4 linked regions of the Lonchura striata genome follow. The protein of the gene in region 2 purifies or fractionates together with the protein of the main gene of each other region. This does not show direct contact. Links are inferred from orthologs where the notes say so. Each region holds a gene or a part of one and is shown on either strand. Other genes may lie near its edges. The genes, in order: SENP7, CBX5, EHMT2 and ADNP.

Region 1 (6,918 bases), on a different chromosome or scaffold from region 2:
GCATCAGTTTGGTAACTGCAGGTTGCCAGACTAGTGTATCTCTGCAGCAGATCATGTCCAGTATTCTCACAGGCTCAGTGGGCTTTAAAATGGAAATTATTTTACTTGCATGTGCCCCTTTGGGGCACACCAACTCCGACTGGCGGGAATGTAGTAGTGTTTACTTCCCTGAAGCATTGTTCAGCTTAACAGTAAGTGTTTCAAGGAGGAAAGTAGATGTTCCAGCTCTTGGAAGATTTCAAACAGTACATGTTACATAGGAGCAAAGATTGGTTACACGTTTTGCTATTCCAGACTTGGCCTTCTAATGAAACTAAGCACTTAAGCAAATGTTTTCCTGATAGTTTAGTCTGATTATAGAGCCAAAACTATAGAATGTTTATTATAGAAAATGATAGATGAGAGCTTGTATACCTTTAAATCCTTAATTCAACTTTAAATTTCACAGCTAGCCAAAGGGTTGTGGCTTAAGGCTTTTAACAAGGCATATATTTCCTAATAGTTAGTGTTTTTCTTCTCAAAACCAAACATAGTTTCAAACTCAGAACACTGTGAATTTCTCCACAGTGAGATGAAGGTGCTTAAGTGATGGAAAGGAGCAGAAGCACTTATGAAAGGTAGAGACCACTATCAAGAACAAACCAGTGTACCTTTATTTATTGCCTGTCTTCTTTCTTGTGCTGCTTCTAGTTGCAGCGGGTGAATTCCTCAAGGCTGTTGCAATCTTGGCTTTCAGCATGGTTTTCAGGTACTTAAAGATGGATTGTAAGCAGCAGGAGGGTGCTAAACTATACTTTTCTGTTCCAGCAGAGAAAGTAGGACAATTTGCTCTCATGAGAAAGCGCACAGTTTTATTTAGGGGTTTACTGTTAGACGCCCATTCTTGGCAGTTTTTGTGTATCCATTCTTGTATTTCTGGATCGTGTCTGCTCTGGTGCTGCACGTTGTGCGTGGAGTCAATGAATGCCACACAATACACTTTATTCATCACCTCACATTTCCTCTGCACCAGCAGATCAACAAACACCAACCCCCCATAGCCATGGGCAATGAAGGCCACGTTCCTGGCTGCACTCTTTGCAATGAAATGATCCCATACATACACGGTATGCTCTTCAGGGCTGCTGCTGCCCCTTTTGGGGATCCAACAGGCAGACTGTGTAAAAGTAAGCGCTTCTTTCCTGGCAGCAAACCTCTTCTTTTCAGCGTTCAGATCAGTGAAATTGTCATTGGGGTTCAGTACAATCACTTCCCAGTGGTTTTGCAGGGCCATTTTGATGAATGGCATTTGTGTTCCATGTTTCAGGCCCTCACTGACAATTGCCCTTCGCCCCCACTGTCCAGCACAAAAAACTCCACGGTCTTGAAGAAGGATAATCAGGCTAGAGGAACTTGTTAGTGCATCCTTGCTCATGAAAAAGAAGCTTCTTGGCTCATCCTCTGTAGCATCAGTAGGAATGTAAACCTTGTGCAGCATGCAGACTCTTTCCAGGAGCTCATAAACATACTGAGTAATAAAATGTCCCAGAACTTCATAGCGTTTATGATTCTGCTCATGTTCATTCTTGTAGTAATTGAAAACAAAGGACTCGTTTGTATCCAGATGCCTCAGTTCCCCTTTTATATTGAAGTCGTAATTTAGTTCCTCTTGATACTCTGAACCCTCTGTTAGTTTCCTCAAACTGAGTTCACCTTGTATTTGTAACCACTACAAATTAAGAAGACTATTATGTCAAAGTAGTGATAGACCACCTGTCTACCCACCCTACCCCCATTAGAATTTAGATTTAAAAGCTGTTACAAATTAAATACTTGTTAATCCAGAGTATTTAATGGTGATGTATAGCAAACTAGCTGCTTCTAAAGCCCCTTAGAGATGTCAATTGTGAAGTTCCAACAGCAGTAACTCCTCTGCCTTTATTTCAGTTTGGTAGTTAAAAATTTCTAAGTAGCATGTTTATTTAAAGATCCGTTTAAGGTAGTTTGAATTAAAGACTTTAAGAAGGAGGCACATGTACATGGTTCACTGTTCACTTGAACAACTTTTATTGTGCTGTCTCCTAGCCATTATCTTGGAACTCCACTGAGTTTCAAGGCCACCTTTGAAATACAAGCCTAGGCAGTTGGAAATAGTCCAAGTGTCATAACTGGATCCCGAGTTTTTAAAGAAAATAAGCTGTGCTTACTAAGGACTTCAACCTTCCCATTGCTTGTGTACCAGCATACTCTCCATGTTCTTCTACCTTCAACTGCACTAGAACAGATATGTACATACATGTATGTGTTTGCTTTGTCTAATCTCTCTAGTTCGTCATTCATCCTTGCAAGCACTTGCCACATGGAAATAGAGGAATGGATGACAAAATAAACTAGCCACTGTGATCCAGGAGCAGGGAAAAAGAAAGTCCAGGCAGCAAACTATCAGGAGGTTGGACTGAGGTCTCCAATTTCAGATCATCTCTAATGATTGATATTAATTATACCAGAAAGTGATTTTTGTGCAGCTGAAAAATTAAGATTAGCAGAACCTTCTGTTTTCTGAGTGATTCCTCAATCTACTACTGACTGTCACTAGCTGTAGAACTGCAAATAAGGTATAACCTTTGGTATGGCCAGTATCCTACCTTTACAGGAGTTTAGTCCTAATGCAGTAATTTATTTTTTTCCTGTAAATTGTCTGAATCAAGTTATATTTGGCAAGTTAGACTGTATACCTTTTAAGTTTTTCTTGCTGTAATTCTGCATTCTAAATCAGCATTGATAGCTGTTTGTACTTCACTGTCTATATATAAATGCAATATTCAAGGCTGTATATGCTGGCAGCTGGTAGCAATTGCTACCTTATTTTTGAAAATTTGCTTTTGGGGGAAACATAATCCCTCTTTCCCTTCCTCCCACTTTTCTATTCAGAGCCTAAAATGCTTCAGATGTATATTCACCTGGTGCTTGTTGCAGCATTTGGCATATTCTAAACACTACTGCAGTATGAGTACTATGTAAGATCCATAAAGATTACTTTGTTTTCCATTTAAAACCATCTCATTCTAGTAAAGCCCAATATTACCGTATCTTCTTCTGTAAAATCTGTCATCATCATAAATGGAAATCTTCTTCACTCTGGGAGTGTAGACAAGTTCTCTGCATGAAAAAAATAAACCCGATCATGGTTTTAATTTTCATTACTTTATGTACTGGGGCGTGTACCTACAAAACCTGTCAGTAGCTGGTAGTTCGTGGCTACCTAAAGCGCTCCAGATAGTTCCAAGTTACAAACTCACCTCTCTCGTTTGTAATTCACACCTGACAGTAAACTAAGGCTAAACCTCGAGTATGAAACTCAACATTTGCCCACACCAGTTTTAATTCCCACGACTAAGAAGAAAACAAAGCTGAAAGCGGCACACAAAACTTACAATTCTGAAGCTGTCCTGAGGGGAAAAAAAAAACAAAAACAAAAAAAAAAAAAAAAAAAAAAAACCAAAAAAAAACAAAAAAAAAAACCCAAAAAAACCAACAGCCACCAATTCTCGTCTCCCCTTAGCCGCATAGGGTTTCTAAGGCCGGCCGGGCAATGAGGGCGCTCCGGGACGGGCCTGGCTGTCCGCCGGGCAAGCGGCATCAGCAGGGCACGGTTCAAACCTGGGCCGGGCCCGGTTCAAACCTGGGCCGGGCACGGTTCAAACCTGGGCCGGGCACGGTTCAAACCTGGGCCGGGCACGGGTCAAACCTGGGCCGGGCACGGTTCAAACCTGGGCCGGGCACGGTTCAAACCTGGGCCGGGCACGGTTCAAACCTGGGCCGGGCCCGGTTCAAACCTGGGCCGGGCACGGGTCAAACCTGGGCCGGGCACGGTTCAAACCTGGGCCGGGCCCGGCTCACGGCTGCTTCCTGCCGAGCACGGCGGTTCCGCCGCTTCTTCGCTGCCTCTCAGCCACTCGGCCCGGCACCGAGCGCGCCCCGAGCGGGTTAAAGCTCGGAGGCCCGAGGGGCGGCGCCCGGCCCGGAAGTGCCGGGGGAAGCTGCGCGGCGGCCCGGTACGGCCCGGTACGGCCCGGTACGGCAAACAGCTCCGGTACGGCCCGGTAAACAGCTCGGGGGTGCGGTGAGTGCTTGTGCCGGCCCCGGCCCGGTACACAGCTCCGGGGTGCGGTGAGTGCTTGTGCCGGTACACGGCTCCGGTACACGGCTCCGGTACGGCCCGGTAAACAGCTCTGGGGTGCGGTGAGTGCTTGTGCCGGTACACGGCTCCGGTACACAGCTCGGGGTGCGGTGAGTGCTTGTGCCGGCCCCGGCCCGGTACGCGGCTCCGGCGGTGCGGTGCGTGTTGGTGCTACCGCCGGGTACGCGGCTCCGGCGGTGAGTGCCGGCTCCGGTACCGGCTCCGGTACACGGCTCCGGTACCGGCTCCGGCACACGGCTCCGGTACCGGCTCCGGCACACGGCTCCGGCACACGGCTCCGGTACCGGCTCCGGTACCGGCTCCGGTACACGGCTCCGGTACCGGCTCCGGTACACGGCTCCGGTACCGGCTCCGGCACACGGCTCCGGTACCGGCTCCGGCACACGGCTCCGGTACACGGCTCCGGTACACGGCTCCGGTACACGGCTCCGGTACACGGCTGTGCTTTTTTATTCCTTTTCACGCTCTAGTGAGACAGAGTGAAAATTTACCAGGGTAGAAATCCATTTGGATTTAAGTGAAATGTGCCACTTTGAGCTTGCTAACATAAGTGAAATACGCTGTTTAGTCTAGTAACTACAGCACTAGCAAAACTACCCCAGCTAAGGAGAAAGAATGCAAATTTCTACACTAAAAGATAAGAGATAAGAAAGACTCCTCAGACCTTGAAACAGACAGCGCAGTGACCCAGGAGTTCTTTCTGTACTTTCTGACAAAAACTGAATACAAGTGTAACTAGCTGTAAGTGTGACTTGAAATTAGCAGAATGAATATGCGTGAACCTATTGTGAAATTCTATGCATATGGAAATTAATAAGGGTAATAAAAAAGGATCGGGAGTTCTCAGAGGTGCACATGTCCATTGAAGGGCAATGAGTCCCCACATGGTCCAGCGCTGTGAATAAACAAACAACCCATTCCATATAAATCTTTATTGGAATTGTGGGGTTTGATTTTTCATCTGCGTTTCACTAGTTTAAGTGTGAACTGCTTATTAGTTGTGTGCTTACAGCAAGGAGTTAATCAGTAAATATCTTAGCTAAGGATAAATTCTAGGACAATTTCATTAACAATTTAGTCTGTGCTGACAATCCAGAGCCTTGCCCAGGTGTGTGTCTATCTTGTATTGTGGCTGTCAATTACTTTTTACCAAGGCCTGTAGTGATGGGGCAAGAGGGGATGGTTATAAATTGAAAGAGGGTAGGTGTAGACTGGACACGAGGAAGAAGTATTTTTTTACAATGAGAATAGTGAGACTGGAACAGGTTGCCCAGAGAAGCAGTGGATGCCCCATCCCTGGGAGTGTTCAAAGTCAGGTTGAATAGTTTTAAGCAAAGTTGAAAGATGTCCCTGCCCATGACAGGATGGCTGAACTATAATATAAAATCTTTTAAACTCCCTATCCAACCCAAGCCATGTTATGATGTTGTTCTTTTGTTCTAGATTGCTCAAAAATTTTCTTATTCTTTCTTAGTGCTTGCTGCTGTGGTTCTACTTCCCTCTTAATAAACTAGAAATTCTTAAATTTCTTTTTTTTTTCTCTTTGTATTTTTTTTCCAGTAGAGAAAACCATGTCAGGACGAACATCAACCTCAAGTCATGTCAGTGTAAGTGTTCCTGAAATTGTCAACATTTTATTTTGAGGCTGTAGGTATCCTAGGGTGTTCTAATTAATTCTTCACTTTGTTGGAACATGCTTTCTTGACAAACTGTTTATTGTGGTAGCAGTCAATACTAATGTCTACTGTTGTACACTTATTAATACGTTATAGGCTTAGCATTTGATTAGGTATAAACAGGGTATTTTCAAAGTTATTTTAAGACCTAGGAATTTTAGAGTAATTTTAAGTAAATAGAAAACAGCTGCAAAACTGTGTAAAACTTTATCTGCAGAGCTGTACTCAGAGGCTTCTTATGCTAGTGTGTGTTTTTTCCTAAAATATCCCTATTAGAAGCAGTTTCTAGCAGTGGGAGTACTGGTGAGAACAGATGGTGGACAAAGGAACTGGTGTGATTGGGTGAGGTCCAGGGGACATAGTGGTTTAAAAATTAGCTTTTTTAATTTCCAGCACTGTGTTTATGCACTTTCTCTGGCCCTTGCTTCTACAGGTGGGAACCTTCAGGAAAGTATTGCTGCTTTAGATGAGTCTGCTGAGTGCCTACGCACATGTATGTGTAGAGTTAGTCACTTTTTATTTGGGAAAAGCTGAGGCAACTGCATACCTTGTGTTTAGCATAGATTCAGACCTCTCTTTGCCTGTTGACTTTGTGCTTGCTCTGTAAGTTAGTTGTGGGTGCTGTAAACCAGCGTCTTCTTAATGAGTGCAAGCATTGGGAAGATGCTGTGTGGTGAGCTGGAAATGTTGCTGGTTTATGTATGTTGTGCTTTTTATCCCTTTCTGTCAGTTGTCTCTTCTTTTTACTGAGTCTGACTTTATCTGTACTTAATGTTGTCTGTTATGTCATTACAGAGGTTATCAGAACCTCTTTAATTTTAAATGCATGTTAAAATTCTAGATAATTGTATGTTCTTTGGACTGTCAAAACATAAGCTGCTAGTCAGGCAGCAGGTGGAGGTCTGAAGTAAGAGATCTGTTCCTAGCCATTACAGTGCAGATCAGAAATAGGCATTCTGACTGATGTGTTTATAGGCCACTTCTAAAACAAAACCAACCAAACAAATTGGAAACAATTTACTTGTAGAAGTTCTTGAATAAAAAAAATGTTGTTTCAATCCT
Region 2 (7,284 bases):
TTCTCCACCACATACTCCTCCTCCTCCCCCGAGGACGAGCTGTCGGCGGCCCGGCGGCTCCTCCTGCCCATAGCGCAGCCACCGCTCTGGGGACAGGGACAGGGACAGTGACAGGAGTGTCACCGTGGCTCAGGGAATGTCACCGTGGGACGTGGCACTGCCCTGCTCCTCCTGCCCATGGCGCAGCCACCGCTCTGGGGACAGGGACAGTGACAGGAGTGTCACCATGGCTCAGGGAATGTCACCATGGGACGTGGCACTGCCCTGCTCCTCCTGCCCATGGCACAGCCACCGCTCTGGGGACAGGGACAGGGACAGTGACAGGAGTGTCACCATGGCTCAGGGAATGTCACCATGGGACGTGGCACTGCCCTGCTCCTCCTGCCCATGGCACAGCCACCGCTCTGGGGACAGGGACAGGGGACAGTGTCACCATGAGTGTCACCATGGCTCAGGGAATGTCACCATGGGACGTGGCACTGCTCCGGCAGCTCCTCCTGCCCATAGCGCAGCCACCGCTCTGGGGACAGGGACAGGGACAGTGACAGGAGTGTCACCATGGGTCAGGGAATGTCACCGTGGGACGTGGCACTGCCCTGCTCCTCCTGCCCATAGCGCAGCCACCGCTCTGGGGACAGGGACAGTGTCACCATGAGTGTCACCATGGGTCAGGGAATGTCACCATGGGACGTGGCACTGCTCCGGCAGCTCCTCCTGCCCATGGCGCAGCCACCGCTCTGGGGACAGGGACAGGGACAGTGACAGGAGTGTCACCGTGGCTCAGGGAATGTCACCGTGGGACGTGACACTGCCCTGCTCCTCCTGCCCATAGCGCAGCCACCGCTCTGGGGACAGGGACAGTGTCACCATGAGTGTCACCATGGGACGTGGCACTGCTCCGGCGGCTCCTCCTGCCCATGGCGCAGCCACCGCTCTGGGGACAGGGACAGTGTCACCATGGGTCAGGGAATGTCACCATGGGACGTGGCACTGCCCTGCTCCTCCTGCCCATGGCGCAGCCACCGCTCTGGGGACAGGGACAGGGACAGGAGTGTCACCATGGGTCAGAGAGTGTCACCATGGGTCAGGGAATGTCACCGTGGGACGTGGCACTGCCCTGCTCCTCCTGCCCATAGCGCAGCCACCGCTCTGGGGACAGGGACAGGGATGTCACCAGGGCACAGGGATTGTCACCATGGGTCAGGGAATGTCACACAGGGCCCCTCCTGCCACTGCTCTGGGGGCACGGATAGGAATGTCACCAGATTTGGGGACACCTGGGGATCCCCAGGAGGGATTTCGGGACATCCTGGGGATCCCCAAAAGGGATTTGGGGTAATTTTGGGATCCCTAAGAGGGATCTGGGATCATTTTGGATCCCACAAAAGGGATTTGGGATCATTTTGGGAGCCCCAAGAGGGATCTGAGGTCATTTCGGGATCCCCAAGAGGGATTTGGGATAATTTTGGGTCCCACAAAAGGGATTTGGGGTAATCCCCAAGAGGGATTTAAATTATTTTGGGATCCCCAAGAGTGATTTGGGGTTCCTTTGGGACCCCAAAAGAAATTTGGGGTAATTTTGGGATCCCCAAGAGGGATTTGGGATAATTTAGGGACGCCCAAAAGGGATCTGGGGTAATTTTGGGATCCCCAAAAGGGATCTGGGGTAATTTTGGGATCCCCAAGAGGGATCTGGGGTCACCTCAGGATCCTCAAAGTGAGACCCCAAGGGGGAGGCACAGGAGGGGCTGATTCCTAAAAACCCAGCGGGGATTTAGGCACAAAGAAACGTGATTTGGGCTAAAATCTCCTAAAAAAAAAAACAACGCAAAACCCAGAGAATTCAGGCAGAGCGAAACGGAATTTGGAATAAATCCCCAAAAACTGAAGGGGGATTTGGGAGCAGAGAAATGGAATTTGGGCTAAACCCCTTAAAAATCAAGATTAAAAAAAAGAAAAAAAAAAAAAAAGACGCTTTAAAAGCCCTCAAATCTGTTTTTTCTCCCCCCTTAGGGCAGGATTTGAGCGGATTTCTCCCTTTACACACAGCCCGAGGGGAATCCCTCGCTCCCGGCCGGAATTTCCTGCCGGGCTCCCGGCGGGGTTCCGGGCGGGCTCCTGAGGGAGAAGGCGCCGCTTTGGGTGGGAAAAGGCCAATTTTGGGAAAATCCGCGCCCGGGAATGCTGCGGGAACAAAGGGAGGGCGGCACGCGGAGGCCCGGGAGCGCCTGGCCGGGGCCGAGGCCGCGGCTGTGAGGGGAAAGCCGCCGCTGCGGGGCGGGGCGCGACGCCCCGAGGGCCCAGGCCGCGGTTTTGGGGTGAAAAGCCGCAGATTTGGGCTCGGAGCGCCCCGAGCTGAGGGGCCCGGCCGCCGGGCCTGGGGGCGGGGCCAGCAGCGCGCCGCCGCACGCCATTGGTCAGAGCCGCCGCGCGCCGCGCCCTGATTGGCAGCGCGCCCCACCGCGCGCCGCGGCCCCGCCGCGCGACTATTGGGCGGCGGAACCGTCACTCCGAGCGCCGCCCCGCCTGCCCTGCGCCGCTATAGGTCAGCGCGCCTGTCACTCGGCTCGCCGCCCCGCCTCCCGCTCGCTGCTATTCAACACCGCGCCCGCCACTCCCCGCGAGGCCCCGCCTCCCGCCCGCACCCATTGGCCGCCGCGCCTGCCCGTCACGGCGGCGGGCCCGCCCCCGCGCTGCCGCCCGTCCATCCGCCGCCCGCCGCCGGCGCTACCTGCGCGGAGAGCGGCTCCGGCGCGGGCCCGTCCGCCGCGGTCTGGCCGCCCCTCCGAGCCGCCGCCGCTCCGCGCTCCGCCCGCCAAAACCGCCCGCAGCGCGCAGGCGCCGCCGGCGGCGCTCCGCGCATGCGTCCGCCCGCCTTTTCCCCCCCCTCTCCCCAAAGCCCACCGCGATGGGCGCATGCGCTGCCGCGGCCGCACCTTGGGGCCGGCGGGCGGGCGGCCTCTGCTCGCCGCCGCCGCCGGGAGTCGCCGCCGCCTCCCCGCTCTGCGCCCGCCGCGCCGCGCTCGCCGAGCTGCGCTGGGCCCGCCGCCGCCGGCGCTGATGGACGGCCGCGCCCGCCAATGGGCACCGTCCCCCCGCTCTCCCAGCCAATGAGCGCCTGGCGAGGGGCGGGCCCTGTTTCTTTCCAACCAACCAGCGGCGCGCCGGGGAGTCTCCGGGCCGGAGCGGGAAAAGCCACGCGGGGCGTGTCGGCAGCGCTTCTCCCCAATCCCCGCGGCGCAGGGGCGGGACGTTTCGGCGCGCAGCCAATCAGCGGCGGCGCGGGGGGCGGAGCGCGGCGAGGCGGCCAATGGGGCGGCGGCGTTGTGAGGCGGCAGCCAATGGGCGGCGGCGCGGGGGCCGCGCGGGCGGCGGGGGCGGCGGGGTGAGGCGGCGGCGCTCGCGGCGCTCGGCCCCTTTCCGTGTCGGCCCTCGCAGAGGGAGCATCGCGCGCCGCCGCCACCGCCCCGCGCCGCCGCCATGGCCAAGGCCGAGGTCAGCAGCGGCGCCCGCCCCGCTCCCCGCCGATCCGCGCGCCCCGTTGTTTGTTTTTTTTTTTTTTTTTTTTGTTGTTTTTTTTTTTAACCCATCCCCGTTCCCTCCCCCCCGCCCCCGCCGCCGCCGCCGCCGCCTGGCGGGCCGCGGGACCTCACTGCGCCTGCGCGCGGCGCCCCCCCCTCATCCCCTCAGCCGCGCAGGCGCCATTGTGTGTGGGGGGGGTCACACACAGAGCCCCCCCTCCCCTCCCCCTTCCCCTCCCCCTTCCCCTCCCCTCCCCCCTCAGGTTCCATTTTTGGGGGGGGTCCCACAGAGCCCCTCCCCCCCCCCCCCCAAGGTCCATTTTCGGGGGGGGGTCCCACAGATTTCGCCCCCCTCAGGCGCATGCGCGACCCCCCCTCACCCCGCGCGCGCTCCCGCGGCCACGTGCGCGCGCTTTGTGTCACGGGGGGGGGGGGTCTCAGGAATAACGGGGGGGGGAAAGAAGGGGATGGGGGGGTGTTGGAATTTGGGCTTGAAATTAAAGCTGGGGGGGTGGGGGAGTTGGAGTTTAGGGTTGGGGGGGGCAAAATTAGGGGAGGGGGGTCAGGAATAGGGGCTGGGGGCGCTGAGGGGGCTGAGGGTGCTGGTAGGCCCCAAAATTTGGGGTTGGGGGTGTTGGAATTTGGGGTGTGGGGCCTTTGTGGGGTTTAATATTAAAACTGGGGGGGTGGGGGGTCGGAATAGGGCTGGGGGCCCTGAAGGGGCTGGGGGCGGTGAGGGGGCTGGTAGGCCCCAAAAATGGGGGTTGAGGGAGAGATTTGGGGGCCTGGAGTTGGGATTTTGGGGTTGGGGGTGTTGGAATTGGGGATGTGGGGGCTTGGGGGGGTTTAAAATGAAAGCTGGGGGGTTTGGGGGGGTGGGGGGTCAGAAATAGGGGCTGGCGGCGGTGAGGGTGATGGTAGGCCCAAAAAATGGAGGTTGGGGGAGAGATTTGGGGGCCTGGGACATTGAGAAATTTGGGTTGGGGGGGTTTGGGGGTCTGGTGGCCCCCCCAGATGGGAACTGGGGATGCTCAAGGTTCAGGTGGCCCCAAAAATTGGGGATGGGGGAGGTCAGGGAGGGTCCCCAGGGGGCTGGGGGGGGATTTGTTGGGGGTGGGTTTGGGGTGTCAGGAGCTGCTTGGGAGGGGAGGGTCCCAGTTGGGTTTTTTTGGGGTCCCAGGGGCGATTTGGGGGTGTCAGGATCTCTCTGGAGCTTTGGGGGGACATTTTGGGGTGTGAGGGGGAGTTCAGGAGGGATTTTGGGATGGGACGGGGGTCCCAAGAGGGATTTTGGGGTGTGAGGAGCACTGGAGGGGTCCCATTAGGGATTTTGGGTTGTCAGTCCCCCCGGGAGCTGGGTGAGGGGGTTTTGAGGGGGTTTTGGGGTTCCCCAGCCTCCCCAGAGCTGGGTGAGGAGGTTTTGGGGGTCCTCATCCCCCAACAGGAACTGTGTGAGGGGGTTTCGGGGTGTCAGGCCCCTGTGAGCTGAGTGTGGGGGTTTTGGGGGTGTTTTAGGGGGGATTTTTGGGGTGTTTTAAGGGGTGTTTTAAGGAGTGTTTTAGGGAAGGTTTAGGGGGTGTTTTAGGGGGGATTTTTGGGGTGTTGTAAGGGGTGTTTTGGGGGTGTTTTAGGGGGAGTTTTAGGGGGGATTTGGGAGTGTTTTAAGGGGTGTTTTAGGGGAGGTTTAGGGGGTGTTTTAGGGGGGATTTTGGGGGTGTTTAGGGGGTATTTGGGCTTCCCACCCCCTCCGTGGGGTTCCGGGGTGCCCTGAGCCCGTCCCCCCGCAGTCCCCGAAGGAGCCGGAGCAGCTCCGGAAGCTTTTCATCGGGGGCCTGAGCTTCGAGACCACGGACGAGAGCCTGCGCAGCCACTTCGAGCAGTGGGGCACGCTCACCGACTGCGTGGTGAGGGGCAGGGGGCCTGAAATGGGGCTGGGGGCCCTGGAAACGGCACTGACTGCAGGAAAAACGGGGCTGGGGGCCCTGAAATGGGGCTGCGGGCCCTGGAAACGGCACTGACAGCAGGAAAAACGGGGCTGGGGGCCGTCTGAAATGGGGCTGGGGGCCTGAAATGGGGCTGGGGGCCCTGGAAACGGCACTGAGAGCAGGAAAATGGGGCTGGGGGCCCTGGAAACGGCACTGAGAGCAGGAAAATGGGGCTGGGGGCCCTGGAAATGGCACTGAGAGCAGGAAAAACAGGGCTGGGGGCCGTCTGAAATGGGGCTGGGGGCCTGAAATGGGGCTGGGGGCCCTGGAAACAGCACTGAGAGCTGGAAAATGGGGCTGGGGGCCCTGGAAACGGCACTGAGAGCAAAAAAATGGGGCTGGGGGCCTCTGAAATGGTGCTGGGGGCCCTGGAAACAGCACTGAGAACAGGAAAATGGGGCTGGGGGCCTCTGAAATGGGGCTGGGGGCCCTGAAATGGGGCTGGGGGCCCTGGAAACGGCACTGAGAGCAGGAAAAACAGGGCTGGGGTCCCCAAAAATGGAGCTGAGGTCCCTGAAATGGGACTGAGATCTCCTGGAGTAGAGCTGGGGTCACTAAAAGGGCACTGTGATCCCTAAAACCAGCCCTGGGATCCCTGAAAATGGCCCTGAGACCCTTAAAAACGTCATGGGATCCCTAAAAATGGAGCTGGGATGACAAAAATGGCCCTGGGATCCTCAAATCCCTCCCTGGGGTCCCTGAAATCAGCCCTGGGACCCCAAAACCAGCCCTGGAGCACCAAAACCAACCCTGGGGCACCAAAACTGACCTGGGACCTTTAAAATCAGCCCTGGGACCCCAAAACCAGCCCTGGGGCACCAAAACTGATCTGGGACCTTTAAAATCAGCCCTGGGACCCCAAAACCAGCCCTGGGGCACCAAAACCGACCTGGGACCTTTAAAATCAGCCCTGGGACCCCAAAACCAGCCCTGGGGCACCAAAACTGACCTGGGACCTTTAAAATCAGCCCTGGGACCCCAAAACCAGCCCTGGGACCCCCTGAACCCAGGCCACCCTCTGGCACCTCCAGACTGCGCCCCTGGGTGCCACAGCCCCCCGAGTGTGTGTGACCCCTCACCTGTGTGTGCCACCTGTGTGTGTCACCTGTGTGTGTCACCTGTGTGTCCCTTTTTGTGTGCGTGACCTCCGTGTGACCCTTCACGTGTCACCTGTGTATTTCTTTGTGTGTGACGTGTGTGACCTTTCACCTGTCACTTGCATGTGTCCTCTCACCTGTGTGTGCCACATGTGTGTCCCTTTCTCTGTGTGTGACCTGTGTGTGACCCTTTGCGTGTGTGTGTTCTCACCTGTGTCACCTGCGTGTGTGTCCCGTGTGTCCCTTTCCCTGCGTATGATCCGTGTGTCACCTGTGTCACCTGTGTGTGTGTCCCGTGTGTCCCTTTCCCTGCGTATGATCCGTGTGTCACCTGTGTCACCTGCGTGTGTGTCCCGTGTGTCCCTGCCCTGTCCCCTGTGTCCCTGTCCCCAGGTGAGACAGGACCCCAGACACAAAACGCTCGTGGGCGTTTGGGTTTGTCACATCCCTGCCCGTGTCCCCGTGTCCCTGTGTCTGTCCTCGTGTCCCTGTGTCTGTCCCCTCAGTGTCCCCGTGTCCCCAGGTGATGCGGGACCCCAACACGAAGCGCTCGCGGGGCTTCGGCTTCGTCACCTACTCGTCGGTGGAGGAGGTGGACGCCGCCATGAACGCGCGGCCACACAAGGTGGACGGCAGGGTGGTGGAGCCCAAACGGGCCGTGTCCAGAGAGGTGAGGGACAC
Region 3 (7,289 bases), on a different chromosome or scaffold from region 2:
CTGGATGGTTTTTGGGGTGGTTTTGGGGGGATTTTGGGGGGTTTTGGGTACCTCGGTGCTGGTGCAGGGGCTGGGGCGCTGCAGGGTCCCTGGGGGTGATTTTGGGGGGATTTGGGGGATTTTGGGGGATTTTTGGGTACCTCGGTGCTGGCGCGGGGGCTGGGGCGCTGCTGCAGCCGCTTGTGGAGCCCCTCGGAGCCAAAATCCAGCTTGGGGCGTTTGGGGGTGTCTGGGGGGGCAAAGAGAGAGGGTCAGGGAGACCCCAGACTCAAATCTGAACCCCCAGATCCAAATCTGAACCCCCAGACCCTTCCAGAACCACCCCAAACCCCCCAGGATCCCCCAACACCCCCCAAACCTCCCCAAGACCCCCCAAAACCTCCCCAGGACACTCCCAAACCCCTCCAGGACTCCCCAGGACCCCCCAAACCCACCCAGGACCTCCCCAACACCCCTCAAACCCCGCAAGGACTCCCCAAACCTCCTCAAGACCCCCCAAATCCCCTCCAGGACCCCCCCAAATTCCCCCAAACCCCCCCAGACCGTGGTGCTGCCCCATCCCGCAGAGCTCCTCGGACACCCTGAAGTGCAGCATCTCCGACATCCTCGGCTTCTCGGGCACCTGGAGGGGGGCAAAAAACACCCCCAAACCCTCAGCGGGGGTCCCCCAAAACCCCCAGACCCCCCAGACCCCCCCAAACCCCTGACACCCCCTGCCCAGAACCCCCCCAGAGCCAGCCCGTACCTGTCCGTTGCTGGGCTTGGCCATGGTTTTGCGAGCTCGGTGAATTTTGGGGGGCTCGGGGGGGTTCTGGGGGGGGCTCCGGGGGGTTCTGGGGGGGCTCCGGGGTGGGGGGCGACCCCCGGGACCCCCCGAGCCCGGCAGGCTGAGCAGGCGCAGGGCCAGGCTTTGGCCCGGGGGGGTTTTGCCGCCCCCCGCCCCCGTCAGGGACATTTTGGCACGGCTGGGGGGGGGCAGGGGGTGGGAGGAGAACCCCCAAAATCGCCCCCCAAAATCGGGGAGCCCGGCAGGGTCTTGGTGGCGTGGCCTGAGGGCAAGAAAAAGGGGAGACCCCCCCCAAAAATAGCTCAGAGACAGCCCCAGGTTGATTTAAAAACCAAATTTGATTTCCCCCCACCACAAAATTTAACAGATCCCCCCAAAATCTCCTCCAGACACCCCAGAAGCCATGAAGACCCCCCCCAAAATGTCACCAACCCCCCCAAAATCCTCCCAGATCCCCCCAAATCCATCCCAGACCCCCCTCAAACCCCCCAAAGCACCCCCAAACCCCCCAAATCCCCCCAAGAATCCCCAGACCCACCCCAAAATTGCCCCAGACCCCCCAAAATCCATCCCAGACCCCCTCAAACCCCCCAGACCCTCCCCAAAAACCCCCAAACCCCCCTAGATCCCCCAAAAAACCCCAGGTCCCCAAGATCCTGCCAGACCCCACCAGAACCTCCTCAAAGCGCCCCCAGACCACCCAAAATCCCCAGACACCCCCCAAAACTGCCCCAGACCCCCAAAATCCCCAGACACCCCCCAAAACTGCCCCAGACCACCCAAAACGCACCCCAGACCCCCCAAAACCCACCCCAGACCCCCCAAAACCCATCCCAGTTCCCCCAAAACCCATCCCAGACCCCCCAAAACTGCCCCAGACCCCCCAAAACTGCCCCAGACTCGCCCAAAACCCATCCCAGACCCCCCAAAACCCACCCCAGATCCCCCCAGCCCCCCCAAAATCCCCCCCAGACGCCCCCTCCTCACCTGGCAGCCCCTTGGAGCCGCTGCCGCCCCCGGGGGGGGTCCCCTGCGCCCCCTCCCCATCGCTGGGGCCGCCCCCCCCCGGCCCCTCCTCGTCCGGGGGGGCCCCCCCGGCTGTGGGGGGGGTCCCGCCGGGGGGGGGAGGGTCACAGGGGGAGGGGCTGCCCGGGGGGAGCCCTGGGGGGGGAGAAAAGGGGGGTCAGGGGGGGTTTGGGGCATTTTGGGGGGGTCTGGGCGGAATTTCGGGGGGTCATGAGGGGATTTCGGGGGGTCTTGAGGGGGATTTTGGGGGGTCCTGAGGGGGATTTTGGGGGGTCCTGAGGGGAATTTTGGGGATCCTGAGGGGATTTTGGGGATCCTGAGGGGATTTTGGGGGGTCCTAAGGGGATTTTGGGGATCCTGAGGGGATTTGGGGGGGTCCTGAGGGGATTTTGGGGGGTCCTGAGGGGATTTTGGGGATCCTGAGGGGGATTTTGGGGATCCTGAGGGGATTTTGGGGATCCTGAGGGGAATTTGGGGATCCTGAGGGGATTTTGGGGGGTCCTAAGGGGATTTTGGGGATCCTGAGGGGATTTTGGGGGGTCCTGAGGGGATTTTGGGGATCCTGAGGGGGATTTTGGGGATCCTGAGGGGATTTTGGGGATCCTGAGGGGAATTTTGGGGAACCTGAGGGGATTTTGGGGGGCCCTAAGGGGATTTTGGGGATCCTGAGGGGATTTTGGGGGGTCCTGAGGGGATTTTGGGGGATCCTGAGAGGATTTTGAGGGACCCTGAGGGGATTTTGGGGATCCTGATTGGAATTTTGGGATCCTGATTGGAATTTTGGGGATCCTGAGGAGATTTTGGGGATCCTGATTGGAATTTTGGGATCCTGATTGGAATTTTGGGGATCCTGAGGCAGATCTGAGGGGGATCTCAGGGGGGTCTCAGTGGAGACCAAAGTGCGAATAAGAATTTGGGGGGGGTCACTCACCGGCCTCTCCCGCCGCCTCCACCACGAGGGTCCCGCCGGGAGGGTCCTGAGGGGGAGGGGGAGGGGCAGAGAGCGCCGTGAGGGGCGCGCCCCTCCCCCCAGCGGACCCCGCCCCTCCCCCCGCTCACAGCCACCGCCCGAATGCCCAAAACCTCTCAAAACCCCCCAAAAAAAACCCCAAACCGCCCGAAAACGCCCCAAAGAGCGGCCCCGGCTCGGCCTCCCCTCAGACCTCGGCGCCTCCCGCCGCCTCCATCGCCGCGCGCGGTGACGTCAGCACGCAGCGCGTAGCGCCTTTTATGGGCGAAGCCACGCCCACCGCGCGGGCTTTGTGTTGCCGGATTGGCCACGCCTACCGAGCGAAGCCACGCCCCCTCGCTGTGAGCCACGCCCACCGAGCCAAGCCACTCCCCTCGTTTTAAGCCACGCCCACTGCCTTAAGCCACGCCTCTTTGTGTTTAGGCCACGCCCATGTGAATTTTGGGGGGTCCTGGTGGTTCGGGACCCCCCAAATTGTCCCGAAAGGGCTCAAAAAATGGCGCTGAAAACGAATAAATCCGCGAAAATGAGGAAAGGACAAAAATTAATGAATTCGAAAAAGTGAAAAACTCATAAAAATTCAGAAATTGCCCAAAAAAATCCCAGAAATTTAATGAATCAATAAAAGCTAACCAATCCCCAAAAACTAGTACATTCTAAAATATAATAAACCCCCCCAAAAATGTATAAATCCCAAATAAATTAATAAACCCCCAAAGTTGTATTAATGAATGCCCAAAAATGGAAAAAATCCTCCAAAAACAACTAAATTTTAAAAATTAATCAAATGTCAAAGTCATTAATCCTTAAAAATTAATAAATCCCAAAAATTAACCAATCTCTAAAAATTAATAAATGCCAAAAAATAAATTCCCCAAAGTAAGTCCCATACAAATTTATAAATCCAAAAAAATTAAATTCATAAATCTTCCCAAAATGAATCCCAAAAAATAAATGCAAAAGAAAAAAAACCCTAAAAAATAAATAACTCCTACAAAAATTAGTAATTCCCCCAAAATAAATTGCAAATAAATTAATACATCCCAAAATTAAATAAAGAAACCCCCACAAAAAATGAATTCCCCAAAAATAAATGAACAAATCCCAAAAAACAACTAAAAACCCATTTTTAAAATTTTTTTCAAAATCCATTTATTACAAAAAAAAAAAAATTCAAAAAAAACCTCCGGGGTTGGGGGAGGGGTCCCACGCCCCTCCCCCACCCCAAAACGGGTCTCACCCCCCCCCCCAAAATCCCCCAAAAGGGACCCAAAATTCTCCTTTCTACCCCCTAAACCCCCCGCCAAAAAACCCCAATTTTGGGGTCACCTCCCCCACCCCAAATCCCTCCCCCACCCCCAAAAACTTCCCCTCCCCCACCCCTCACTACAACCTAAGGGGGTCCCCAAATCCTAAAATCTACAAAACCCCCCAAAAAATCTGGGGGAATCCCCAAAAAAATCAGGGGAGTCCCCAAAAATCTGGGAGGAATCCCTAAAACATCAAGGGGGACCCCCCAAAAATCCCCCGAGACCTTGAGAGCCCCGGAATTTACCCAGAGAGGCCAAATTTGGGGGGATGCCCCCAAAAAAATCAGCCTTATTCAGCTCATTTTGCCCAAAATCCCCAAAATTTTGCCGGTTTTGGGTTTTTTCCCTGTTTTTTCCAGCTGGATTTTCAATGGGGACCCCAAAATTTGTCACTCAGGTGGCCCAGGAACCCCAAAATTTGTCACCCAGGGGCTCTTCCTCACCATTTTGGGTTCTTTCCCCATATTTTGGGGTCCTTTCTCCCCATTTTGGGGTCATTCCTCCTCATTTTGGGGTCATTTCCCTGATTTTGTCATTGTTCCTCCCCATTTTGGGTCTCCCCACTTTGTTCCAGGAAGGATTTGGGTGTCCAGGGGTCACTCCGTGGTCACTCCATGGTCACTCTGTGGTCACTCTCTGGTCACTCTGTGGTCACTCTGCTCACTCTGTGATCACTCTCTGGTCACTCTCTGGTCACTCCATGGTTACTCTGGTCACTCTGTGATCACTCTCTGGTCACTCTCTGGTCACTCCGTGGTCACTCTGCTCACTCTGTGATCACTCTCTGGTCACTCTCTGGTCACTCCGTGGTCACTCTGGTCACTCTGTGATCACTCTCTGGTCACTCTCTGGTCACTCCGTGGTCACTCTGGTCACTCTGGGCTCGTTGCCATCACCCCGGGGGTCACCCACTCGGGGTCACGGTGTCCACATGTCCAGGGGTCACTTTGGGGGTCACTTTGGGGGTCACTCTGAGGTCGCCACCGTCACCCCGGTGGTCACTCTCAATGTCCAGCAGGGTCCAGGTGTCCGGTGGTCAATCCCAACCACTCTGGGGTCACTTTGGGGGTCACTCCCCACCACTTTGGTGGTCACTCCATGGTCACTCTGACCTCCTTGCCACCACCCCAGCGGTCACCAGCTCAGTGTCCAGCAGGGATCAAATGTCCAGTGGTCACTCCCCACCACTCTGGGGTCACTTTGGGGTCATTCCTGACCACTGTGGCCTCCTTGCCACCACCCCAGTGGTCACTCCCTCAGTGTCCAGCAGGGATCCAGTGTCCAGTGGTCACTCCCCACCACTCTGGGGTCACTCTGCACCACTTTGGGGTCACTCTGCACCACTTTGGGGTCACTTTTCACCACTTTGGGGTCACTTTTCATCACTTTGGGTCACTCTGCACCACTTTGGGGTCACTCCCCACCACTTCGGTGGTCACTCTGTGGTCACTCCCACTTCCTTCCCACCACCCCAGCGGTCACTCCCTCAGTGTCCAGCAGGGATCCAGTGTCCAGTGGTCACTCCCCACCACTCTGGGGTCACTCTGCACCACTTTGGGGTCACTCTGCTCCACTCTGGGGTCACTCTGCTCCACTTTGGGGTCACTTTTCACCACTTTGGGGTCACTCTGCTCCACTTTGGGGGGGTCACTCCCCACCACTTCAGTGGTCACTCCGTGGTCACTCCCACCACCGCAGCGGTCACTCCCTGCACATCCCCCACCCCTCACCGCCCCTCCCCCCACCCCTCCCCCCTTCCTCACCCGGGAGAGGACCCAGCACCCCCCAAACCCCCCCCGCCCCCCGCCCCCCACCCCGCCGGGCCCTCCCCCGCCCCGCGTCACCGCAGCAGCACCCCTCCCTCGGCGCCGCCGGCTTCCAGAACGTTCTGCGCCGTGGTTTTGCCGTGCTGCTCCTTGAGGTGCCGGCGGATGGCCGGCTTGTGGGCGAAGCGCACGTCGCAGTAGGAGCAGCGGTAGGGCCGGGCGCCGCTGTGCAGGTTCAGGTGGTCGTGCAGGGTGGATTTCTGCGTGAAGCTCTTGCCGCAGACGCCGCAGCCGTGCGACTTGACGCCGCGGTGCACGTTCATGTGCCGGTTCAGGTTGCTGCTGTGGTTGAACTGCTTGCCGCAGCGCGGGCACATGAAGACGAAGTGCTGCGCCCGCATGTGAAACACCAGCTTCTCCACGCCCTGGAAGCTCTCCCCGCACTTCCCGCACCGCGACGCCGCCGCCGGCGCCGCCGGTGCCGCCGGTGCCGCCGCGGAGGCCGCGGCGCTCGCCGAGGCGCCGGCGTGCCCGCCCGGCGGTTCCTCGGCGCCGCCCGCGCCGCCCGCGGCCGCCGCCGCCGGGGAAGATGACCAAACCTTCCCCCTCGGCGTCCTCGGCCAGGCTGTAACACGCCTTGACCACGCCGAGCCGCGCCGCGCCGCCGTCCGCCGCCGCCGCCGCGCCGCTCTGCGCCGCCTCGCCGCCCGTCACCGCCGGCCACCTGCGCCCGCGGCGCCGCGTGGCCGGCTCCACCTTGACGATGCAGACGTCGCCCGCCGCGTCCTCCTCGTCCTCCTCGTCCTCGTCCTCCTCGGGCTTGGGCGGCGGCGCGGGCGCGGCGGGCGCGGGCTGGATGAAGCGCGCCAGCGCGCCGCGGCAGCGCTCCACCACGTGCTCCATCTGCAGGTAGCTGGCGGCCGTCAGGTAGTTGACGAGGTCGCGGGCCGGCAAACTCCAGCGCGCCCGTGTAGCAGGAGAGCAGCAGGTCGGCCAGCACGCGGGCGCTGTGGGCCAGCGAGACGCGCAGCTCGGCCGCCGGGTTCAGCAGGAACTGGTCGCGCAGGAAGGGCGAGCAGGCGGCCAGGATGACGCGGTGGCCGCGGAAGCGCAGGCTGCGCGCCACGATGGTGACGTCACAGAAGCGCTCCTCCGCCCGCAGCCGCGTCATCGAGCGCAGCGCCGCCGCCTCGTGGCCCGGCAGCTGGAAACGGAGCACCTCGGCGCACGACGACATGGCGCCGGCGGGGCTGGGGGGCTGGCGGGACTGGGAGGGACTGGGAGTGGACTGGGGGGACTGGGGGGGACTGGGGGGGAAGTTATGGGCACTGGGAGGTACTGGGAGAGACTGAGAGTGAACTGGGAGTGACTGGGAGCCAAGTTATGGGGACTGGGACGGACTGGGAGGGACTGGGAGAGACTGGGAGGGA
Region 4 (7,754 bases), on a different chromosome or scaffold from region 2:
ATACAAACTCAGCTGCACTAATGACTTTTAAAAATGTGTCCATTTTGCCCATGCAGGTAGAGCAGCTCCAATGGCACCTGTGAAACAACACAGTGGGCAGCTCAGCCCCAGAGCTGTTCCCTGCCTCTCCTGGCACCTCTCCTACAGTCTTTAAACTGGTCCTTCTCAGGTCTGATACTGCTTTGGTCATTCCCAGCAGAATTTTGTTTCCCTTAAACATCTCAAGTAGTAGAGCAAAGATGACTTTCCCTTTCTGGAGATAAAACCCCACAAAAAGCACCCAACACATCTCCTATTAAGTTGCTAAATGTTATTTGCAGCTACCTTAAAACAAACACATTAACCCAGGAGCACCATCTTTTCTTTCATAAAATCACTTGTTTCAACTTCTTTCTTTGCATCAATCAAATCAGCTGCTGTCTTAATAACAAGCTATAAAATATACACTCAGACCATATAACTTATGACTACTGATAAGATCCTGGTATGTTTCTGTATTCCAGGAATTCCACTGTAAACTTCAATGTTTACTTTCAGTATTTATGTTATTACAGAGTGGCAAAGCTGAGCTGGGACTAATGAGCCATTATTCACCTGCAGCGTGTGAGCAGCACAACCCAGCTGCCCCAGAAGACGTGTCCTGCATTTCCCTACAGCTCACGGTGCTCAGAACAGCGCAGGGATCTGGGCAGCACCACCAAGTGAGAGTTAAGTAAGAGTTAAGTGAGAGTTTACACTTAACCCACACGCTGTGGCAAGGACAGGGACCTCTGTGTCAGTGTCAGCAAGCACTTCTGACCACTGGTACCTTCTGCCCTACACACAGAAAATCCATCACGTTCCTCCTCTCAGCCTGAGGAGCACAAACACCTTCCTGGGCGCTGTGTTTGTGCAGCTGGTGCTTAACACTGCAGGGCATGAACTTTCCAAGACAGTCAGGAGTTCCTCTTCGGTCTTCCTCTCCTGTGAAGGCTTTTCACTCCCAAGTGTGGCACTGGGTCTGTCTCACCTACAGGCAAAGGAGGAGCCTTTCACCTTCCCCTGCACATCCAACAGCACCTACCTCCCACAGCCCAACACAAGTGAACCGCAGGCTCTTCATGACAATACACCCTGAAGCATAAATAGTGGTAACCTAAAGAGATGCCTCCTACAAACCTGCCTGATGGACTTCAATTCAAAACAAAAAAAAATTAGTTTTAGTAATGGGGCACTAAAACGGTATCAGTTTTCAATGATCTCAGAGACATCCCCTGGGAGCATCTCATGTCTGCTGGATACCAAAAAGTCACTCTTGAATGCTAACTAAGAAATAATGCTAATTTGAGCAAAGGGCAGCTAACCACCAAAAATAGTGCAAAACCATCCAGCTTGGTATCAATTTTGGAGAACAAATTATTTGTTGTGTGTCAAAAAGGACATCTCTATTTAGACTGAAATTGGAAGTATTTGCTGTGACAGTCTTCAGAAAAGGTAACCATTATGTTACAACCCATCAGCATCTGGTGCAATTCTCTTAACAACAGGGTGTTTCTGGTCTGTTGTCTCTTTTAAGATTTCAGCACATATCATGGTAATGTCCATCTGCTGATATCAAATTACTGCCCAACATCTGCAACTGCACATCTGCAAAGGAACCAAGCTTTGGTTTGGTTTGTTACTAAAAGCAGGAAAAAAAGGCTTTTCTGTTTCTTAAGCAGACTGATCCATCTTTCTCACCTAGAGGGATGACAGCTTGTGATTATGAGTTTGCAGAGTCCTGAAGTGAAAGTTTTCCCGAGTAGGAGACCCTGCAGGAGGGAGCACTGCTGAGGCACACAAGGCTGAGCTGCACAGCAGCCAGCTAAGGTCGGTCCACGCTACCCTGACGGGCGGGAATCCTCTGTCTCCGTTACCTCACACCTCCAGACAGAAACAGGAAATACCAGCAAAAATAAACAGAAACATAGCTAGGGAAAAAACCCTTAACTTAATGAAAAGGAGAGGACGCAAACCTCTTTGACACCTACAAAACGGCTTGAACACACCCAAGGAACAAGGACCACCAAGACCAGCGGTGACGGGGCTGTGCCCCGCGGTCGAGGCTCGCCGCTCCCGGGGGCTGCGGCCACGTGCGCAGAGCCGGGCCAGCCCCGAGCCCGGCCCGCGCCCCGGTGCCCCCGGAGCGCTCCCCTCCCCCGCCGCGGCGGGCCCGGCGCGCAGGGCGCCCCCTGCCGGCTGCCGCCGCGCAGCGCCCCGCCGGGCGCGCTCCGGTTCGGGGGGGCCGCGGCGTCACGCCCGCGGCCGCTGCCGGGGCACCGGGGGTGCGCCGGCACCCCGGCACCGCGCACGCACTGCCACTTGCTTCGGAGCCCCCGCCCGGGCCGCAGCCGCCCGGGAAGGGGGTGCGTGGCACGGGGGCATCTGCCCGGTGCGGCCGCGAAGCTCCGAGTTTGGCGTCCCCCGCCTTTGTCTCGCAAACGGGTGTCGGTAAGCGTAGCCCGGGGCACGGATGGGTGAGGTAACGGCGCTCCGTGCCGCAGCTGCGCCTCGGGATGGCAGCGGCGGGTCCCGCCTTTTCCCGCGGGCAGGGACCCCTCGGCTGCTCCCATTCATCGCATCCCCGGCGCCGCTCCAGCACCAACTCCGCCGCCGGGGCCCGGTGCAGCTGCACCCAGGGATGCCGGACGCGGCCGGCGGCTGGCGGTCCCGCTCCCTCGGGCTGCCGGGACGCGTCCGTGCGGGGAAGGGAGGCGGCCGGGGCCGGCGGCGGGCAGGGAGCAGCGCCGCGGTGCCCGCACCGCCGGGGCTCCTCAACGTGTGTGCGGGCGGGGAGGGGCCGCTGCCAGCTCCGCACGCCCGGTGCGGCGGGCAGGGCGGCGGGCACGGCGCGGGATGCCCGCGGGAGGGAGGGAAGGAGGGAGGGGGCGGTCGGGCGCTGTCCCCGCCCGGGTCGCACCGCGGACCCGCGCTCGCACCTACCTGAGCGGGCTCTCCTCGCAGCGAGGGCGGGCTGGGGCGGGGGGGGCGGGGGGGCGCCGGACCCTCCCCGGCGCCGCCCGGTCCCGGGGCGGGCGGGCGGAGCGGAGCCGCCGGCGGCGCGGGGGAGACAAAGGGGGAGATGACGGGGGAGGGGGTGCAGTGTGCGGGGCGGGCGGTGCGGAGCGGCCCCGGGGGCGGGGGCGGCGGTGACTGGGCCGGGTGGCCGGGGCGGGGGCGCGGGCGGGGGCAGCGCCCGGGCCCCTCAGACAATACAGCCGGGTCCCGCTGCCCACAGCCTGCCCGGGCCAAGATGGCGGCCGAGAAAGAGCGGAAGTGACGCCAGACCCTCATTAGCATACGGGACTCATTGTCCGGCGGGAGGGGAGGGGGCCGCGCCCCGGGGGGGGGGGGCGGGGGAGCCCCGGGGGTCCCCGCGGGACCGGCCCCGCCGCGCCCGCCGCACCGGGCGGGGACGCGACCCCGCCCCTGGGGGGCCCCCGCGGGGCGCACCGGGCCGGCCGCGGCCATGGCGGCGGAGGCGGCGGCGGCAGCGGCGGCGGCGGGATCTACCCCGGCCCCGCTAGGAGGCGCCGCGCCCTGCGCCTGGGTCCGGCGCGGGGATCCCTCCGCCGCGCCCCCGGCCGGGACTACATCCCGTCCTGAGGGGCCGCCGCCGCCGCCGCCGGGGCGGGGGCGCGAGCGGGGCGGGGCCCGCGAGCGCGGGGACGCGCACGTGACCGCGGGGCGGCCCCGGGAGCGCGCGCGGGGCTCGTGCGGCGGCGGCGCCTCAGGGCGGCGACCGGCCCGGCCCCGGTGTCCGGTGGTCCTGCCGTGTCCATCTGCCCGGGGCTGCGAGGATGCTGAAGGGCCTGGAGCGTCTCCGTGCCCAGGAAAGGCCGAGCGAGCTGGGGGTGCCCAGCCTGGACGCGAGCCCCAGTGAGAGGGGGCTCCGCCCTGGCTGTCCCCGGGTGCCGGAGGGCAGAGCAGGCCCGGGCTCTGCTCCGGGGCCCAGCCGTGGCACCAGAGCCAGGGCAGGGCCTGAGCCCAGCAGTTCCCCTGCCCAGGAGGCAGAACTGCCCTGGGCAGTGCCAGCCCTGAGCAGAGGCCAGAGAGGCTCTGGGGTCTGATTGCAGAGCAGTCTGGACACAGGCCTGTGCCACGGGCTCTGGGGTGGCCCTGCTGGAGCAGGGAGGTGGCACCGGCTGAGCCACTGTGTCCCTGCCAGCTGGACTGGCTCTGGGGTTGTGCCCATCGCAGCTCGGCCAGGGCAGCCTCACTGGGACACCCTTTGGCAAAGTTGCCATGGGCTGGGACGGTGGCACCGTGAGGCGACACGAGCTATGTGCTCTACATGCTCTGAAATCCAAATTCATCACAGAACCATAGGATATGCTGAGCTGGAAGGCGCTCACCAGGACTGTTGAGTCCAGCTCCTGGTCCTGCACAGGACAACCCCAGGAATCCCTCCATGTCCCTTCAGACTTTGGGTTAACACCCTGAGAACGAGCCAGCGCCCAAAGGCGGGACTGTGATCTTTCTGGTGAGCCCTGTGCACGTGTGGTCACACACACCTGTGGATGCCCCTGGACATCCCATTTGCAGCAGGAATGTTGGATCAGGACAAGAGCCCACATGTGAGTCTTCCTTGTGGATCCTGACGCTGTTCAAGGTCTCTTTAACAAATGAGGATGATTTCTAAAAACCCTTCTAGGAGTGACAGGAATGGATGGCTTTTGTTACTTCAGAAAGACACAAACACTTGGAGGAGGAAGTAAAGTGTAATTCCCTCCATCCTCAGTGTTCACACCCTTTCTGGTTCAGTGACACGTTGGAGTTTAAGCTCACAATGCTAGAAAGGAAATTTGACTCCTTGCTTGAAGTGCAGAAGCAAAGTTGTCACCAGTTCTTTAGACTTCATGTAACTTAAGGATCTCCTGCATTTACAGGTGACTGGTGTCCTGACAATCTGTACATGCTGTTTATCACAATTCACTGAAGTAGCGTTTATGAAGAATTTAGTGATGTTTTGTTCTGTCTCTGAGGCTGCTTTGAGACTTTCTGACTCAGTGGGACATAGAAATCCCCTGCTTGTGGCTGCAAGTCAACCTGGGTTTCACTGGCTGCTCCCATGGCATCTTCACATCAGTGGTCATAAGAAGTCGGGAAGTCACAAAATCTTTTTACATGGAAATGTAAATTAAAAACCCAGGAAATACACAAAACTTGGAAACCAAAGCTAGTGCTTTGGTGTTAAAGAGCCCCTAGAACTGAGGTACTTTGAGAGTTCCCTGAGACTTGTGTGGAATCTGTCTCAAGGAAGGAAAGCAAAAAGAGCTGGTTTGGTTTTCCTATAATAACATCATTTTGCCTTCCAAGAGTCGATTATTTTTCTCTGATGGCACAATTGTTGAAGCATGTTATTGAAGCATGTTGGGGAACATTCTGAAACGTCACTAAGGCAGGACCATACTCAGAAACTCTCAATTAACTTCATGGCTGCTTGAGCCAGTCTGCTCCTGCCTAAAATACACAGCCCCACACCTGAGCACCTTCCTATACGAACACTATTTAATTTGTGCCTTACCACTGGCCACTTTTTAGCCATCACTTAAGATAAAAAATACACCAGCTCCAGAAGAACAACCCACAGACCTGCTCTAAGGGCTGGATTTGAGTAAGCAGAAGTGTCTGAAGGTTGGAGGAACCGAGTGTAAGTGGGATGTGATAATGCAGCTGGAGATAGAAATGATATTTGAGAGATATTTACAGGAGTGAGCACAACACAAAGATCTGTGCAAAGGACACAACAGCTCAAACACAGAGACCTGCAATTCAGACAGGAGAGCTGAACAGGCTGTTGGGCATCATTCCCTGCCCTGAATTCTGGGAGCAAGTGAAGGTATCTGAGTAAATTTGTGTCTTGCTGTATGTACTTACCAGAAGACAAGGTAAGATAAGGTTGGGATGGAAATAGAGGTGGATAGAGTTTCCCCAGAGCAGTAATATCAAGGAGTTTCAGCTGGGAACACTCCCAGCCATGATGTTGGTACTCAGTCCATGATTACAGTGTGGAAAAACATTTGTGAAGAGTGTAGAAACTGGAATTTGGCATGGGAGGGGATGAAATTAGACCCAGATAGAAAGGAGAGTGTCAGGAGGCAGAAATATTCAGTGCATCAGAGGGGTGCTGCAGGCACCCCTCTGATTTTAGGGTAGGGGAGAGAAAGGGAGGGAAAGGAGATGTGGCAGCAGAAGCTGGAGCAGAAGGGAGCCACTGCCTGCCTCGGGGTAAAATCTACAGTGACAGGGCTGAGAAAATGGGGGAAGGATGAGAGGGTGTGAAAGCAGTCATGAGTGATGGACAAGATCTTGTTCTCATTCAGCTCAGGAGGGTTCTTGTGGTGGTTTGAAGTGTGACAGCTGTCAACAGGGATTTGGGGAAGAAAGATGAGAATTTACAAAGTTTGTGTGGAAAGATTGATAGTAAAGCTAAAATTCAAGCAGTGCAGAAGAAGGAGAAAAGGAGTTTTGACATCATTTTTCTCCTGTGTGTACAGAGTGAACAAAATGAAACAGAAGTTGATGCTAATAGTCTTAATCTACTTTTTCTATTGCAGAAGTGGGTATTGTTTCTAACAATACAGCCACTGGAAAAATCAGTAAAATCACTGCATTGTAAGAGACGAAACACTTCACACCAGAGGGGAGGCAATTAGCACTCCCAAGCTGAATAGCTTTAATTGCACATGCGTTGTGCTGCTGCTTCAGGTCAAAACTGTGCCCAGATTCATCCTACTACTAGCTCAGTGTCATGCTTGGGTTTTATTCAAATACAAAATAATTAAGATGACTATTGATGCTTTTACACACAACATAATTAATTATATAATAAATACAAGTAAGTTAATCAGCATTAGGACCACTGGTCTCACAATGATCTTTAAGACCCACTAAGCCACCCAGCTCCTGTGCTGATCAGACACCTGCCAGCATTGGTGCCAGTTTCTGTTGAACAGCCAGTGCCACCACCTTGCAGGAATAACTTCCCATTTTATGCTGTCTGCTTTGTTGAAATCCCTCTCAATGGCTAAGTTTTCAGATCTAGTTTTGGATTAAACGGTGTAATTAATTTTTCTCTCTCTGGTTCCAATATATTTTCCCCTGAACAGTGACAACCAGTCTATAAGAAAGTTTTTAATTGCCACAATGCCTGGAGAGAGGGGTACAACATGGCAGGAACAGAGGAGGAGATGATGCTCAAAGTTGCTGTGCTTGGCACTAGTTTCTTTCTTTGCCCATGTCTCCTGCAGCATGGCACAGGGGAGGTAATAAACAAGTTCTAAAGCAAGGAAGAGTTTGATGAGCAGTCCTGTCCCCTGCACACCCCCTGCTCCTGCTGCTCCTGGTATCAGCATTTGCCTGAGCTCTGGAATGCCAGCCACTGAAATGTGTGGCTGAAGTCATCCCTGCACTGAACTCAGCAGGCAATCTGTCACTGAATTCATTTCTGCCAAGATTCCAATCCAGGCTTGTACTGATAGACCCTCGAATAAATATTATTGATTAGTCATCATTATTTTTTACTGTTGATGTGCAGAAGGTTGTGGAGCCTTGCAGTTGGATTTCTGCACAGTCCACTGGAAGATCTGTTTGATTAGAGTGTTTATATTGGCAGCGAGGTTCATCTTTGTTGCAGGCTGAGGTTAAAGTCTCAGATTTTGTCAAAAACCCAAAGCAAAAGAGAAGCCAACTCCCCTGAACCTCAGAGCAGAAAAATCCTCACCAAAGAGAGC

What was found.
Region 1: the proteins of CBX5 (region 2) and SENP7 purify together in Homo sapiens (affinity purification with mass spectrometry; 3 studies listed by BioGRID and IntAct, with this or other methods). This does not show direct contact. The link is inferred for Lonchura striata from reciprocal best matches to the Homo sapiens genes CBX5 and SENP7.
Region 3: the proteins of CBX5 (region 2) and EHMT2 purify together in Homo sapiens (affinity purification with mass spectrometry; 3 studies listed by BioGRID and IntAct, with this or other methods). This does not show direct contact. The link is inferred for Lonchura striata from reciprocal best matches to the Homo sapiens genes CBX5 and EHMT2.
Region 4: the proteins of CBX5 (region 2) and ADNP purify together in Homo sapiens (affinity purification with mass spectrometry; 4 studies listed by BioGRID and IntAct, with this or other methods). This does not show direct contact. The link is inferred for Lonchura striata from reciprocal best matches to the Homo sapiens genes CBX5 and ADNP.

What each region holds. Positions count from the first base shown.
Region 1 is NC_134604.1:696,205-703,122, reverse strand, and holds the start of SENP7 (sentrin-specific protease 7), read left to right. Parts: upstream 1-3,918; 5' UTR 3,919-4,072; intron 4,073-5,740; 5' UTR 5,741-5,751; coding exon 5,752-5,787; intron 5,788-6,918. Other genes in the region: putative protein ARB2BP, read right to left, coding at 653-1,708, 3,065-3,091. UniProt on the Homo sapiens protein: Protease that acts as a positive regulator of the cGAS-STING pathway by catalyzing desumoylation of CGAS. Desumoylation of CGAS promotes DNA-binding activity of CGAS, subsequent oligomerization and activation.
Region 2 is NC_134629.1:8,441,668-8,448,951, forward strand, and holds the start of CBX5 (chromobox protein homolog 5), read right to left. Parts: upstream 3,010-7,284; 5' UTR 2,937-3,009; intron 2,817-2,936; exon of another isoform or gene 2,732-2,816; intron 87-2,731; 5' UTR 72-86; coding exon 1-71. Other genes in the region: HNRNPA1 (heterogeneous nuclear ribonucleoprotein A1), read left to right, coding at 3,481-3,495, 5,309-5,425, 7,127-7,273. UniProt on the Homo sapiens protein: Component of heterochromatin that recognizes and binds histone H3 tails methylated at 'Lys-9' (H3K9me), leading to epigenetic repression. In contrast, it is excluded from chromatin when 'Tyr-41' of histone H3 is phosphorylated (H3Y41ph).
Region 3 is NC_134631.1:100,621-107,909, reverse strand, and holds the start of EHMT2 (histone-lysine N-methyltransferase EHMT2), read right to left. Parts: upstream 3,001-7,289; coding exon 2,977-3,000; intron 2,791-2,976; coding exon 2,745-2,790; intron 1,949-2,744; coding exon 1,762-1,948; intron 1,050-1,761; coding exon 746-1,049; intron 623-745; coding exon 544-622; intron 230-543; coding exon 141-229; intron 1-140. UniProt on the Homo sapiens protein: Histone methyltransferase that specifically mono- and dimethylates 'Lys-9' of histone H3 (H3K9me1 and H3K9me2, respectively) in euchromatin.
Region 4 is NC_134619.1:1,236,167-1,243,920, forward strand, and holds the start of ADNP (activity-dependent neuroprotector homeobox protein), read right to left. Parts: upstream 3,015-7,754; 5' UTR 2,962-3,014; intron 2,470-2,961; exon of another isoform or gene 2,330-2,469; intron 1,903-2,329; exon of another isoform or gene 1,720-1,902; intron 1-1,719.